Anolis sagrei: one gene and its partner. The main gene of each other region encodes a partner of the protein of the gene in region 2 in a complex. Links are inferred from orthologs where the notes say so. Each region holds a gene or a part of one and is shown on either strand. Other genes may lie near its edges.

Region 1 (7,677 bases), on a different chromosome or scaffold from region 2:
ATATAGCTTTCCATAACTGCAGATCCTTTGCCTTTCCATGGAGCAGAATACATTATACTGCCATGTGCAATCTGCAAATCCTGGTATGCACTACGCAGAACTGGAAAGTAACAAAAATGCCGTCTGGCACAAAAACAGATGCTTTGCATCCTGTAAAGTTTACTCTCTGAAATCCAAATTCTTTAGGCCAGAATGGAATGCAAACCTCTGAAGTGAACATAACACCACTACCTTCTATTTGACAGGGACATTAGTGACATCATGTGTCACTAACTTGCCAGAAATGATACATGAAGCAGGTGCGGATCTCTTCACATGTTTCATATAGTTTGCCTGTGGCTTCTGCTCCATTTTGCTCACATACTCCTGTTTAATTATGCCACACTTTGTGGCTGTCACAAACTATGCAGAATTGTGTTGTCGTAGCCTTTCATGGCCGGAATAACTGAGTTGCTGTGAGTTTTCCGGGCTGTATGGCCATGTTCCGGAAGCATTCTCTCCTGACATTTCTCCCACATCTATGGCAGGCATCCTCAGAGGTTGAGGGGTACGCTTGCCTAGTTTCCAACAGACCTCACAACCTCTGAGGATACCTGCCATAGATGTGGGTGAAATGTCAGGAGAGAATGCTTATGGAAGACGGCCGTACAGCCCGGAAAACTCACAGCAACCCTGTGCTGAATTGGTTGAGACTCTATCAGATCTTTATTGAAAAACAATAGCAAAACGTGCTACAGGATGTCCTGCAAAAACAATGTGTTTAAAGTTTACTAAACTTTTCCCATGGTTTTGTGATGGAACCAATTAGGAAATGATGTTTATAATCCAGGGGGAAACAACTGTGATACAAAGTGTTATGGCTCTGTAGATCCGGGTTGAAAGATGCACTTGGCCATGGAAACTCTTGGGCAAGGTACAGCCTTCCAGCAAAACGCCCTCTGAACGAATTTTGCCCAAAAATCGTAATTGACTCAAAGGCACACAACATCAATTTAGTAAACGCTGCATTCACATGTTCCAGAAGCATTCTCTCCTGACATTTCACCTACACCTATGGCAGGGATCCTCAGAGGTTGTGAGGTTTGCTGGAAACTAGGCAAGTGGGGTTTATATATCTGTGGAACAATGTCCAGGATGGGAGAAAGAACTCTTGTCTGTTGGAGGAAGGTGTCAATGTTGCTACTGGACACCTTGATTATTTATTTATATGCCGCCCTTCTCATCCAAAGGGGACTCAGAGCGGCTTACAAGATATATATATACATACATACAATATATTATATTATTAGCATAGTACAATATATTATATATTTGTGGCATTGAATTTTACCTTGTAAACTGCCTCGAGTTGCCAGAAGGCTGAGAGGGGTGGTATATAAACATAGTAAATAAATAAATAAATATTACTATATTGTACTACACCATTATATTGTAATACTAGCTGTCCCCTGCCACGCGTTGCTGTGGCCCAGTCTGTGTATATGTGTTTTCTGTGTGTATATTTGTGTATATATGTGGTTTTGCGCATGCATTGTAATGTATTTTTATGTTTTGGCTTTTTAAGTCTCCTGCTGTGTTTTTCAGTATTTTTTTTTGAGTGATGGTCACTCGTTGGCCTGATAGGTATATTGTTTCCAAATTTGGTGTCAATTCGTCCAGTGTTTTTTGAGTTATGTTAATCCCACAAACTAACATTACATTTTTATTTATATAGATGATTAGTAATATTACATGTAATATAAATATATAATTATAATATCATATTATTATCATTAGTGTTACATTGCACTACATTATAATATTATAAATATTATATGTCTATACAATATATTATATTACATGTTTTAGCACTGAATGGCCTTGCAGCTCCAAAGCCTGGCTGCTTCCTGACTGGGGGGGACAATCCTTTGTCAGGAGGTGTGAATTGTAAAACTTCTTTGGTAAAGGGCACATTCACACGTCCTTGATGTTAACCCTCTGGGCTGTCATTCCTAAACTGGTATGTTAGGAAACCAAAATCTACAAGTCTAGTAGCGAAAGAGACTGCCATAAGGAAGCCAGGACTGAGCCAGTCAACAAGGGCGGTTTATTATGGGGATTAGTCACTACGCCCTTTTTTTTAATGCCTTGTCTGGATTTTCTTCTACCCTTTCCACAGACAGGCGGTGTGCCTACACTGTAGAACTAGCACAGTTTGATAGCACTTGAACTGCCCTGGCGCCATGCTATGGAATGATGGGGTTTGTAGTATGGGGAGGCCCAACTGGTAAGGGCAAACTTTGGCCTTCCAGGTGTTTTGGTCTCCAACTCCCACCATTCCTAACAGCCTCAGGCCCCTTCCTTTCCCCCCTCAGCCGCTTAAGCGCCTGAGGGGGGAAAGGAAAGGGCCTGAGGCTGTTAGGAATGGTGGGAGTTGGAGTCCAAAGCACCTGGAAGGCCAAAGTTTGCCCTTGCCTGCTGCACAGGCTCGAATTAATCCACTCACCGCCAGCGATTGATGCCCACCGAGGAGGAGGCGGCAAACCAGGGGTCCAGGATATAGATGCACCGCACGGGGCCGCCGTCGCGGATGGCTGCCTGCAGAGCCGGGTTGTCGTGGAGCCGAAGCCCGCGGCGGAACCAATGGACCGAGCAGCCGTTTCCCGGGGGAGGAGGAGGAGGGAGGCCCGAGGGCCCAGCGAGCGTGGCCATAGTTTCGCGAGGCGCTTCTCTCGCTTTCTTCGTCGCGCGCCAGCAACCCACCTCTTGCCTCGACCGAGCCTCGCGCTGCGCTGCGTTGCGTTGCTGCCGGCCGTCGGAGAAGGGGAAAGCCACGCCCCTTCCTCTCGCGCGCTCTCGACGCCCATTGGCTGCCTGGGCTACGTAACACCGACAGCGCCCAGGGGCCCCCGGAGCCTCGGCACGTTCCTGCGACGTGTAAGCAGCGATTCGGGGAGAGGGAGGGGGGAAATGAGGAGAAGGGGGCGTGGCCTGTGACCGCACTGAGCTCCCCCCTCCCTCGCGGCACGTGTGCCTTGGAGCAAAGCAACGGGTGGGTGGGGTTTCCAAAGCTTCCAAAACACTTGCAAAGAGGGAGGAGCGGCAGGGAGAGAGACAGAGATCTTATTCAACAATTGGAAGGGAGCCTCCCCATCCTTGGCGCCTTACGCAATAGATATATAACTTGCAAAGGATGATGGGATTTGTAGTACTTTCAAACCCTTCGGTTCCCACAGACCACTGTGGCCCCCAACAAAGACTGATCAAGTCCAAACCTGGCACACAGAGCCCACATGACCCACTCTACATCCTGGTGCAGTTTGGAGGATGGACCGCGGATGATGGGACTTGCAATACCTTCACTCACTTCCTGAGTCCACTGCAACCCTCATCGAATGACCGAGAAAGACCAAACTTGGCACACAGAGCCCCCATGACCCCACTCTTCATCCTGGTGCAGATAATGGATGATGGGACTTGCAGTACCTTCACCCACTTCCTGAGTCCACTGCAACCCTCATTGAATGGCCGAGAAAGTCCAAACTTGGCACACAGAGCCCCCATGACCCCACTTTTCGTCCTTGTGCAGATAATGGATGATGGGACGTGCAGTACCTTCACCCATTTCCTGAGACTACTGCCACATTCATCCAATGACTGATCAAAACCTAATTTGGCACACAGAGCCCCCATGACTCACTTTACATCCTGGTGCAGTCTCAAGGAGGGTGATAGGACTTGAAGTACTCATTTACTCATTTCCCAAGACCGCTACAACCTTCATGTAATGACCGATCAAGACAAAACTTGACACACAGAGCCCCCATGATCCACTCTACACCATGGTGCAGTTTGGAGGAGGATGGGTCACAGATGCTGGGACTTGCCGTACCTTCACTCACTTCCTGTGACCACAGCAACACTCATCAAATTACCAATAAAGACCAAACTTGGCACAGAGAGCCCCCATGGCCAACTCAACATTCTGGTGCAGTTTGTGGGAGGATGGACTATGGAGGATGGGACTTGCAGTACCTTCACTCACTTTCCAAGACCACTGCAACCCTCATCCAATGACTGATCAAACTTGGTACACAGAGCCCCCATGAGCCACTCTACATCCTGGTTCTGTTTGGAGGAGGATGAACCATGGACAATGGGACTCGCAGTACCTTCACTCACTTCCTGAGACTACTGTGAGCCACATAAATAACTCATAAAGCCCAACCTTGGCACGCACTGACTTTCTCAAATAACCCGGACACCGTCGGATCCCCAAGCTAGTGTCTATAATAAAAATGAATGTTTGTATGTGTTTATGTGACTGCTTTCTGATTGGCTCCCACTTCCACTGGCCACTGCAACCCCCATGAATAATGGACCTGGACCAAACTTGGCACACAGAACCCGCATGACCCACTTTAAGTCCTGGTGCGGTTTAGGGGAGAATGGACCATGGATTATGGGATTTGCAGTAATTTAAATCGCTTTGGCTCCCACAGAACACTGCGATCCCCATCATTGATGGATAACGACCAAACTTGGCACACAGAGCCCCCGTGACCCACTTTAAGTCCTGGTGCTGTTGAGGGGGGGATGGACCACGGATGACAGGATTTGCAGCAATTTCAATTGCTTTGGCTTCCACAGAACACTGCGACCCTCATCATTCCTGAGCCCACTATGACCTCCACAAATTAAGGCCTTAACCAAACTTGGCACACAGAGCCCCCATGAGTTGTAGTTCACCTGCACCCACTGAACTCAGCTGACATTGTATCTAGATTAAACTTGAAGCACAGACAAGCAATGCCTTTCTCAAATAACCCGGGCAGATAATCCCAAGCTAGTATATATATAAAGGTAAAAGTTTTCCCCGACATTAAGTCTAGTCGGGACTGATTCTGCGGGGTGGTGCTCATCTTAATTTCTAAGCCAAAGAGCTGGCATTGTCTGTAGACACCTCCAAGGTCATGTGGCCAGCATGACTGCAATGATCAATAGGTATCACCTTCCTGCCAAGGTGATACCTATTGATCTACTCACATTTGCATGCTTTCGAACTGCTAGGTTGGCAGAAGCTGGGGCTAACAGTGGGAGCTCATCCTGCTCCCTGGATTCGAACCACCAACCTTTCAGACAGCAAGTTCAGGAGCTCAGTGGTTTAACCCACTGCTCCACCAGAGGGCCCAATATTCATTAATATTTACATCCGAAGGCTGACGCAGTGTGTGCCCCATGCGCATCCAGAATGTGCATCTCGGGATCGCTGCAGGAGCACCTACTTCAAGCATCGGCAAACTTGGGCCCTCCCTCCAGATATTTTGGACTTCAGCTCTCACCATTCCTAATGACTGGCTGTTAGGAATTGTGGGAGATGAAGTCCAAAAAACCTTGAGGGAGGGCCCAAGTTTGCCCATGCCTGACTTACACTGTAGAATGGGTGCTTGAACTTCACGGCTCAATCGATGGAGCTGTAGTTTGGCAAGTTCTTTGTTCTTTCTCTGTCAAATGCTAGGGCTTTCCCACTCTGATGCTGGTGCCTCACCAAATCTACAACTCAGGGCATTGAACCATGGCACTTCAAGCCATTATTTTCAATTATGGCAGTTCTGCACTTGTGTGTTAACAAACCCAGACTGGGTGTGCAATGCCAAATAATGCAGCTTGAACTGTGTTATGTAGTCAGTGTGAATAGACCCACATAATGCTGCAGCACAGCAATAAAATGTATTCTATTGTTTTTACTTCATTTCTTTCATAGGGGCATAGTCTTTGTTTGCTCACTGATGGGTCTATGGACCGTAATAAATATTGCTGTTGTACATAATTAGCTTGAACTGCATTATATACATCTACACTAGCTATATAATGCAGTTCAATACGCATTATTTGGCATTGTAGATCCAGCAAAATACCTCCTAGGGTGCATCTGCTCTGTAGAATTAATGGAATTTGATACTACATTTAACTGCCATGGCTCAATGCTAGGAAAACATGGGATTTTGGAGTTTGGTGAGGCACCGGCATTGTTTGGCAGAGAAAGCTAAAGACCTTGGAAAACTACAGTTCCTATGATCTCATAGCATGGAGCCATGGCAGTTAATTATTGATTATGCAGGAGCTCCTGGTGGCACAATGCGTTAAGCCCTTGTGCCGGCAGGACTGGTCAACTGATACATTGGCGGTTTGAATCCGGGGAGCGGGACAAATTCCCATCTATCAAGCTCTAGCTTCTCATGTGGGAATACGAGAGAAGCCTCCCACAGAATGGTAAAGCACCAACCATCTGGGCCTTCCTTGGGCAACGTCCTTGCAGATAGCCAATTCTCTCACAACAGAAGCGACTTGCAGTTTCTCAAGTCGCTTCTGGCACAAAAAGAAATTAATTCTGTAGTGCAGATAACAACAGCCCTGCACGAGAGAACTCCTCACATCCCAGTAACTTCCAAGTTATCCTAAATTCCAAAGAGCTGAGGAGCCCCTCATGACCTAAAGCAGGCATGGGCAAACTTTGTCCCTCCGGATATTTTGGACTTCAACTCCCACAATTCCTAATAGCTGATAGGCTGTTAGGAATTGTGGGGGTTGTCATCCAAAACATCTGGAGGGCCGATGTTTGCCCATGTGTGACCTAAAGGCTTAAGCAAAATGTTATTATTCAGGAAGAGCAACCAATGGCAATTACTAGAATAAAGTGCACACCAAAAGTAAAGAGATATGTATTTGACAAGGGAATCAAGCAAAGAACTAAATGTACACAAACACTAACTTTGTGAAACAACAGCTTTATGCCCAAAGTTATAGCTATGCATACTAGAACACTTATTTTATTTTTTGCTTAATTATGGCCTTCTCTAAACTAAATCAAGGATTTGCAGCAATTTATTCTTAGGCTTGAATCCTCAGAGAATTCAAAACTGCCAAAATCTCTCAGAAAACTTGAGTTCACAACAAACATTTGTGGTGCGCACAATTTGTGTCAGTTTCTTCCTGTAACCTCCCTGTGAAAAGCAGTGCTAATTGGAGTGGAATCGCTATGTCTGTACATACAGCAATGAAATCACCCAGTTTTATAAGAGGCACCAAACATGCTGTTCTGGTGAGAAAAAGAACTGCACCATAACAGGCGAACCAACCACTCAATCATGTGCTTAGGGGTGCTTAAGCTCCACGAATTCCTTGGGCTCAGACGCAGATATTATCTAGTTGCATATACGACTCTGGGAAAGGCCTGGGCAAAGCTGAACATAATCTCCTTTTGAGTCTGGGTGTCTCGTCGTCGCAGGTATATTGCTGATGCTTTTAGATCTTGCACTGGCATGTAGCCAACAGCAGGTCTGTCCATCATACATTTATGTAATCTCATTTTAAATGCTAGTTATGGCCATCATATAACATCCTGTAATACCTCTGTTATGCCGACAAAGGAAGGTGCACATGGAAGGAGAAGGAGGAGAAAATTAAGCAGAAGAGCATCTGGGCTCAGTCCAAACCAGAATTATATAAATGTTAACTCACTGAAAGCAATTGGATTTTTATTTCTTAAATAAACTTGATTAAATGATAAGGGCTTTTTTGTACAATTCCAGGAGTGCTACAACTTTAAGTCTCTTTAAGAGAAAAAAGTGATATAGAAATAAAGACAATAATAATGATTTGCTATTACTTGGGAGTAAATTCTAGAGAACTCTCTAA
Region 2 (7,283 bases):
GCTCAACGCTAAGCAACGTTGGAAACTGAAGCTTGGTGAGGCACCTCTTTGGCAGAGAAGTCTGAAGACCTTGTGAAACTGCAATTCCTAGGATCTCAAGGCATTGAGCCAAGGCAGTAAAAGTGGTGTAAAACTGTACCGATTCAGTAGTGTTGATGCACCCTAAATCTAAAGCAGTTCTAACCCATAGCATTTTGGATAACTTATACCACTGATATAATTAGTGGCATAATTTAGAGAGAGAGAAAGGGGAAATACGTATTTAAGATATAGATTTTATATGTATAATATAACCAGTCTTTAAGCGTAAATTTTAAATGCATGTCTTGTGTTTAATCTGTTTTGTGTATTTTAATATGTATTTAATTAAAAAATGTTTTAATATGTAGCTTTTATAGAAATACATTTTAATATGTGAATATGTAGTATTTCTACAATGTGTTTAATTATTCTGTAACCTGCCTTGAGCCGCGAGGAGAAGCAGAAAATTAAAGTATTAAAAATATATACATATACACCTTCTATATACTGGCACAATATCTATAATATACATATATAGTTATTATATATACACATATTAGGTATATGGGATATACATACTGTATATCTCCTATTTACATGTATTTTATACATTATATATACATTATATATACATATACACACATATCCTATATACTGGCATAACATTATAATATATACACACAAGTATTTCATATATACATATTGCAGATATACATACATACATATATAATATACATGTATACAGGTTATATATATAAATATCCTATTTGCATGTATTTTATACATTATACACACACATTTCCTATATACTGGCATAATATGTATAATAGACACATACAGGTATTTCATATAATTGCAGCTATGCATACATATATAACATATATGTATATAGGCGATATATATCCTAATATATATATTCTAAAATTCTAAAATTGCAACAGCAAAAACAGCAGAGAGAAAAACAGGCAGGGACATCTAATCACCCTTCAAGAAGAGTTTGCTCCAGGCACAGTCAGCCCATTGTATGCTAATCAAGGTGGTCAGTTGAAAGAGTCACACCTAGCCCAACTTACAAAAGCCCTTTGTCTTACCCTGGTCATTCCACAGATATATAAACCCCTTTTTTCCCAGCTCCAGCAGACCTCACCTCTGAAGATGCTTGCCATAGATGCATGGAACATGGCCATATAGCCCGAAAAAACCCACAAGAACCGAGATATATATCCTATTTGCATGTATTATAAATTATACACACAGACTTCCTATATACTGGCATAATATGTATAATAGACACATGCCGTTATTTCATATAAACATATATATATATATGTATATAGGAGATATATATCCTATTTGCATATATTTTATACATTATACACACATATCCTATATACTGGCATAATATGTCAAATATACATATATAGGCATTATATATACACATATTTCAGATATACATATACATACACACATGTATATAGAATATATATATATATATATATAATTTACATAAACACAAATATACACACACACATATCCTATATACTGGCATAACATGTCAAATATACATATATAGGTATTATATATACACATATTGTGGATATATATATATATATATATATACACACACACACGTAAATAGGATATATATATATTAAAATGTTTACATGTGTTTTATACATAAACACAAATATATATATACACACACACACATGCATATCCTATATACTGGCATAATATGTCAAATATACATATATAGGTATTATATATACAAGCATGTATACAGATATATATATATATATCTTATTTACATGTATTTTATACATAAACACAAATATACACACGCACATGCATATCCTATATACTGGCATAATATGTCAAATATACATATATAGGTATTATATACACACATGTATATAGAATCTATATAAATATATATATCTTATTTACATGTATTTTATACATAAACACAAATATACACACCCACATGCATATCCTATATACTGGCATAATATGTCAAATATACATATAGGTATTATATATACGCATATTGTGGATATACATATATATACACACATGTATATAGGATATATATATATATCTTATTTACATGTATTTTATACATAAACACAAATATACACACCCACACGCATATTCTATATACTGCATAATATGCATAATATACATATATAGGTATCATATATACATATATGTGTGTGTGTGTGTGTGTGTGGATATACATATATATACACACATGTATATAGGATATATATATATATATATATATATCTTATGTACATGTATTTTATACATAAACACAAATATACACACGCACACGCATATTCTATATACTGGCATAGTATGCATATATATATATATATATATAGGTATCATATATACATATTATACATGTATATAGGAGATATATATATATATATATATATATACACAGTATATCCCATTTGCTTATATTTTGCACAGCACACACACTCTTTATACACACCCCTTTTATATTGGTCATCTGAATAACAACAACACAATGGATTGAGAATGTATATAGGATACATACAGTATATCCTATTTGCATGTATTTTACACAGCACACACACTCTTTATACACACCCCTTTTATATTGGCCATCTGAATAACAACAAAAACAACACAATGGATTGAGAAAAAGTTCCAAATTCTGAAGTGCCCTTTAAACGAGCCTCCAGCCTGAGACTCCCAGGACGCTTTCCACACACAGGACCCTGCCAGGCTTCATCGCGCTCTATCAGCGAGGCGCTTCCCCTGATTCCCAGCCCACCCTCCCTTCCCCTTTCCCCTTCCCCTTCGGAGGCCTACTTACCTACTAACCCCGAGGGAGCCCCTCGCCCGCAGCAGAGGCGACGTCGAGGAGGACCGACTGACTGACGGGAGCCTCGCGTTACACAACCACCGCCTCGGTTTCCCTCCGCCTCAGCCTCGGCGCGAAGGGACGGCGCGGCGGGTGGTCTTGGCCGGAAGCGCCCCTCTCGCGCCGAGGCCGACCCCCGCCCCTCGGAGGGAGCCCCCTCCTTGCCTTTCCTTCCCAAGCCGAGCTCCTTCAGCGCCGCCGGCCCCGGCCTCATACCCTCCGCAACGTGATCGTGCCTGAGGGAAGCGCTAGAACGGGCGCCGATTGGCCGCCTCGGAAGAAGGGGCGGGACGGGCGGCGCCGGTCCCGAGGCTCCTATTGGCCGCGGCGGACGTCACTCACATTGCATAAGCTTCACGTGTCACTCCATGTTTCTGGGAGAGAGGCAGAGAGGGCGGGATGAGGGGGCGCTGCCGCTGCCGCTGTTCCCCCCTCGTCCCCTCCTCCCACCGCTTCCCAAACAGAGCGTTCGTCCAATAGGAGACGCCCGAGCTGCATGCGTCATCCGCTCCGGAAAGGAGGGAGGGAGCTCTCTCTCATACTTTGGGGGCGGGAGCCAATGGGAAAGCTCGTATGCTGAAATGCCTGGGTCAACTTTGGTCCTCTCTGCAGGTGTTTTGGACTTTAACTCCCACAATTCCTGTTAGGAATGGTGAGAGTTGAAGTCCAAAAACACCTTGAGGGCCCAAGTTGGCTCATGCCTCATCTGCACTGTATTTGAATGGGTTTCAATCTTATATCTATGCCTTTTAGTATATGTATTTCATCTATGCTGATGATCGTGCCATTACTGCTCAAGCTTTGAGATGGTAGAACAGAAGCTTTCCGAAGCTCTAGGTGCTCTTACTGCCTATTGCAGGGAAAACCAACTGATCCCTAATCCATCTAAAACACAGACATGCTCCTTTCACCTTAAGAACAGACAAGCATCCCGAGCTCTGAGGATTACCTGGGAAGGAATCCCACTGGAGCATTGCAGCACACCCAAATACCTGGGAGTCACTTTGGCCCGTGCTCTTACCTACAAAAGCACTGCCTGAACATCAAGCAAAAGGTGGGTGCTAGAAACAATATCATATGAAAGCTGACTGGCACAACCTGGGGATCACAACCAGATACAGTGAAGACATCTGCCCTTGCGCTGTGCTACTCCGCTGCTGAGTATGCATGCCCAGTGTGGAACACATCTCACCACACTAAAACAGTGGATGTGGCTCTTAATGAGACATGCCACATTAACACGGGGTGTCTGCGCCCTACACCACTGGAGAAATTACACTGCTTAGCCGGTATTGCACCACCTGACATCCGCCGGGAAGTAGCAGCCAATAGTGAAAGGACCAAGGCAGAGACATCTCCAGCTCATCCCCTGTTTGGTTTTCTAAGATCTACACAGACACTCGCTGGAAAACCTCAGCAAGCGAGAGTCCAAAAGTGGCAGGCTCAAACCCAGAACCTCAACCAATGGCTGATACCAAATGAGAGACTCCCCCCTGGGCACACAGAGGACTGGGCGACTTGGAAGGCGCTGAACAGACTGTGCTCTGGCACCACAAAATGCAGAGCCAACCTTCAGAAATAGGGCTACAAAGTGGAATCCTCGACATGCGAATGCGGAGAGGAGCAAACCACTGACCACCTGCTGCAATGCACCCTGAGCCCAGCCACATGCACAATGGAGGACCTTCTTGCAGCAACACCAGAAGCACTCCAAGTGGCCAGATACTGGTCAAAGGACATTTAATCAACTACCAAACTCACACATTTTGTATTTTCTCTGTTTGTTTGCTTTGTTCTGTTAGAAATGTAATATAATTGACTGGCTGCCCTGACACGAGAAATAAAAATAAAAATAGTATATGTGTTCTAAGGGTTTGATGTATACAATCTATTTATTGTAACTGTATTATATTCTGCCTCAAAATCGAATACTAGTATTGGTATATTATTATTTATTTATTAACTTTATTTGTACCCCGCTAGCATCTCCTGAAGGACTCGATGCGGCTTACAAAGGCCAAGGCCACAATAAAACAACAATATAACAATTACATATAAACCAAAGCAAATCAAAAACTTTTAAAGCAATAACAGTAAACAATAAAACAACACACTGTGATACAACAAAAACTAGGCCGGGCAAATGTAATGGATACAGTAGACTCTTCGAGCTCTTCCACACTGCCCTTTATCCCAGGATCTGATCCCAGATTATCTGCTTTAAACTGGAATATAGGAGTCCCCACTACCTGATAACCTGGGATAAATATAATCTGGGATTAGAATCACAGAGTTGGAAGAGACCTCATGGGCCATCCAGTCCAACCCCCTGCAAAGAAGCAGGAATATTGCATTCAAAGCACCCTTGACAGATGGCGTGACCACATCTCTGTGTACGAACCCACACGATCTCTTCATTCATCTGGAGAGGCCCTACTTACGATCCCACCTTCATCGCAAGTGCGATTGGTGGGGACGAGAGACAGGGCCTTCTCGGTGATGGCCCCTCGACTCTGGAACTCGCTCCCCAAGGACATTAGGCACGCCCCAACTCTGGCAATCTTTAAGAGGAGCCTGAAAACATGGTTCTTCCAGCGTGCATTCCCAGAATAAGGAAACCCTAAGCAACATGTCCCTAATCGCACTTTACTAATGATCCAGGATTGTCTACTCGCTCCATCTCTCTCCAAATACCTATCCTAGTTATATGTCACCTTGTCATGCCCAGCATTTTTTAAAAAATTTAATTATTACATTTGGCCCTGCCATAGGTTTTTAATGCGTCGTGGTGTTATTGTTACTGTTTAATGCTTTGTTTATGAGTTTATGTATTGTCTATATTGCTGTTGTTGCTGTTTTTACTGATGTATTTGGGCTCAGCCTCTTGTAAGCCGCACCGAGTCCTTCAGAAGATGGTAGCGGGGTATAAATAAAGGTTTATTATTATTATTATTATTATTATTATGGCCCTGAAAGATTAGATCCTGGGATAGAGGGGCAGTGTAGAAGGGCCCTCAAGCAATCAGAACTCTTAAGCCACTGGCAAAATAACCAAAGAAATAATACTTTAAAATTTAAATCAATTTTAGCCGATATGTTACATTAAATCAAGTCTATAATTATTTACTTTTTACTGATATAGTATAGTATGGCCCCCTGGTGGTGCAGTGGGTTAAACCGCTGAGCTGCTGAACTTGCTGACTGAAAGGTTAGCGGTTTGAATCCAGGGAGCGGGGTGAGCTTCCGCTGTTAGCCCCAGCTTCTGCCAACCTAGCAGTTTGAAAATATGCAAATTTGGGTAGATCAATAGGTACTGTTTTGGTGGGAAGGTAATGGTGCTCATGCTGTCCACATGACTTTGGAGGGGTCGACGGGCAACAGCAGCTTTTTGGCTTAGAAATGGAGATGAGCACCACCCCCCAGAGTCAGTCAGAACTAGACTTAATGTCAGGGGAAACCTATACCTTTACTATAGTATGCAATTGATTAGGTCTATTTTTAATAGTAACTCTTAAGCAACCAGAAACTAAAATAAAGAAATAAAAATAAACAATTATCCAGCATCTACCAATCTTCATGGATGCCGGATAACTAAGGGCCCTTCCACACACCCATATAACCCAGAATATCGAGGTAGAAAATCCCATATTTTCTGCTTTGAACTGGGTTATCTGAGTTCACACTGCCATATATTCCAGTTCAAAGCAGAAAATGGGAGGTTTTATTCAACTGTGTGGAAGAGGCCTGAGAGTCTGCTTTATTAGTATAAGTACATAAAGTGACTCTTCGTTTATGTTTTGTATATGTTTTCTACACATAGCATGGAAGTAGTTTTGTACAGAATTTTTGTGTGTGTGCCTGAAACAAAGTTTATGCACACTGAACCATCAGAGAGCAAAACGTGTCCCTATCTCAGCCACTCATATTTTTGGAGTACTTTGGATTTTGGGATTTGGATAAGGGATGCTTAACATGTAGGGTGAGAATAAGCTCAGCTGAAATGTGATGGAGGGAATGTTTTGGATAGAAAGAGAGAGCAGGGGACAGAGAAGGAAAGCGGGGGCGGGGGGGGGGGGGCGAATACAAAAACAAATGAAGCCGGAATACTTGCAGGAATGACTCAACCACTGTTGTGCTGTAGTCATACCATGAGAAGATATGACTCATTGGAAAAGAGGATAATGCTAAAGTGGAAGGCAGTAGGAAAAGACGGAGGCTACATTCCAGATGAATTGGACTCATCAATTAAGGAAGCCATGGCCCCGAGTTTGCAAGGCCTGATCATGTCTTTTGATGATAGGATGGCTTGGAGATCTCTCATTCATAGGTTCACCATAAGCCAAAATCAACTTGGTAGCAGTAATGA

What was found. The genes of interacting proteins can lie anywhere in the genome.
Region 1: the proteins of PER2 (region 2) and CRY2 are in contact, whole or in part, in a crystal structure (PDB 4U8H), measured with the Mus musculus proteins. The link is inferred for Anolis sagrei from reciprocal best matches to the Homo sapiens genes PER2 and CRY2. Residues at the interface, in NP_035196.2 of Mus musculus: Tyr1132, Leu1134, Gln1135, Asp1136, Pro1137, Trp1139, Leu1140, Met1142, Ala1143, Asn1144, Thr1145, Ile1149, Met1150, Met1151, Thr1152, Tyr1153, Gln1154, Leu1155, Arg1158, Asp1159, Leu1160, Val1163, Leu1164, Asp1167, Gln1168, Lys1170, Leu1171, Leu1174, Gln1175, Ser1177; in NP_034093.1 of Mus musculus: Trp58, Ser63, Ser64, Val65, Lys163, Leu166, Thr167, Lys169, Arg170, Glu215, Leu216, Gly217, Phe218, Asn330, Pro331, Ile332, Cys333, Ile334, Gln335, Ile336, Pro337, Asp339, Asn341, Pro342, Glu343, Leu345, Ala346, Lys347, Ala349, Glu350.

Annotation. Positions count from the first base shown.
Region 1 is NC_090021.1:277,807,305-277,814,981, reverse strand, and holds the start of CRY2 (cryptochrome-2), read right to left. Parts: upstream 3,020-7,677; 5' UTR 2,692-3,019; coding exon 2,486-2,691; intron 1-2,485. UniProt on the Homo sapiens protein: Transcriptional repressor which forms a core component of the circadian clock.
Region 2 is NC_090023.1:229,098,138-229,105,420, forward strand, and holds the start of PER2 (period circadian protein homolog 2), read right to left. Parts: upstream 3,181-7,283; 5' UTR 2,870-3,180; intron 1-2,869. UniProt on the Homo sapiens protein: Transcriptional repressor which forms a core component of the circadian clock.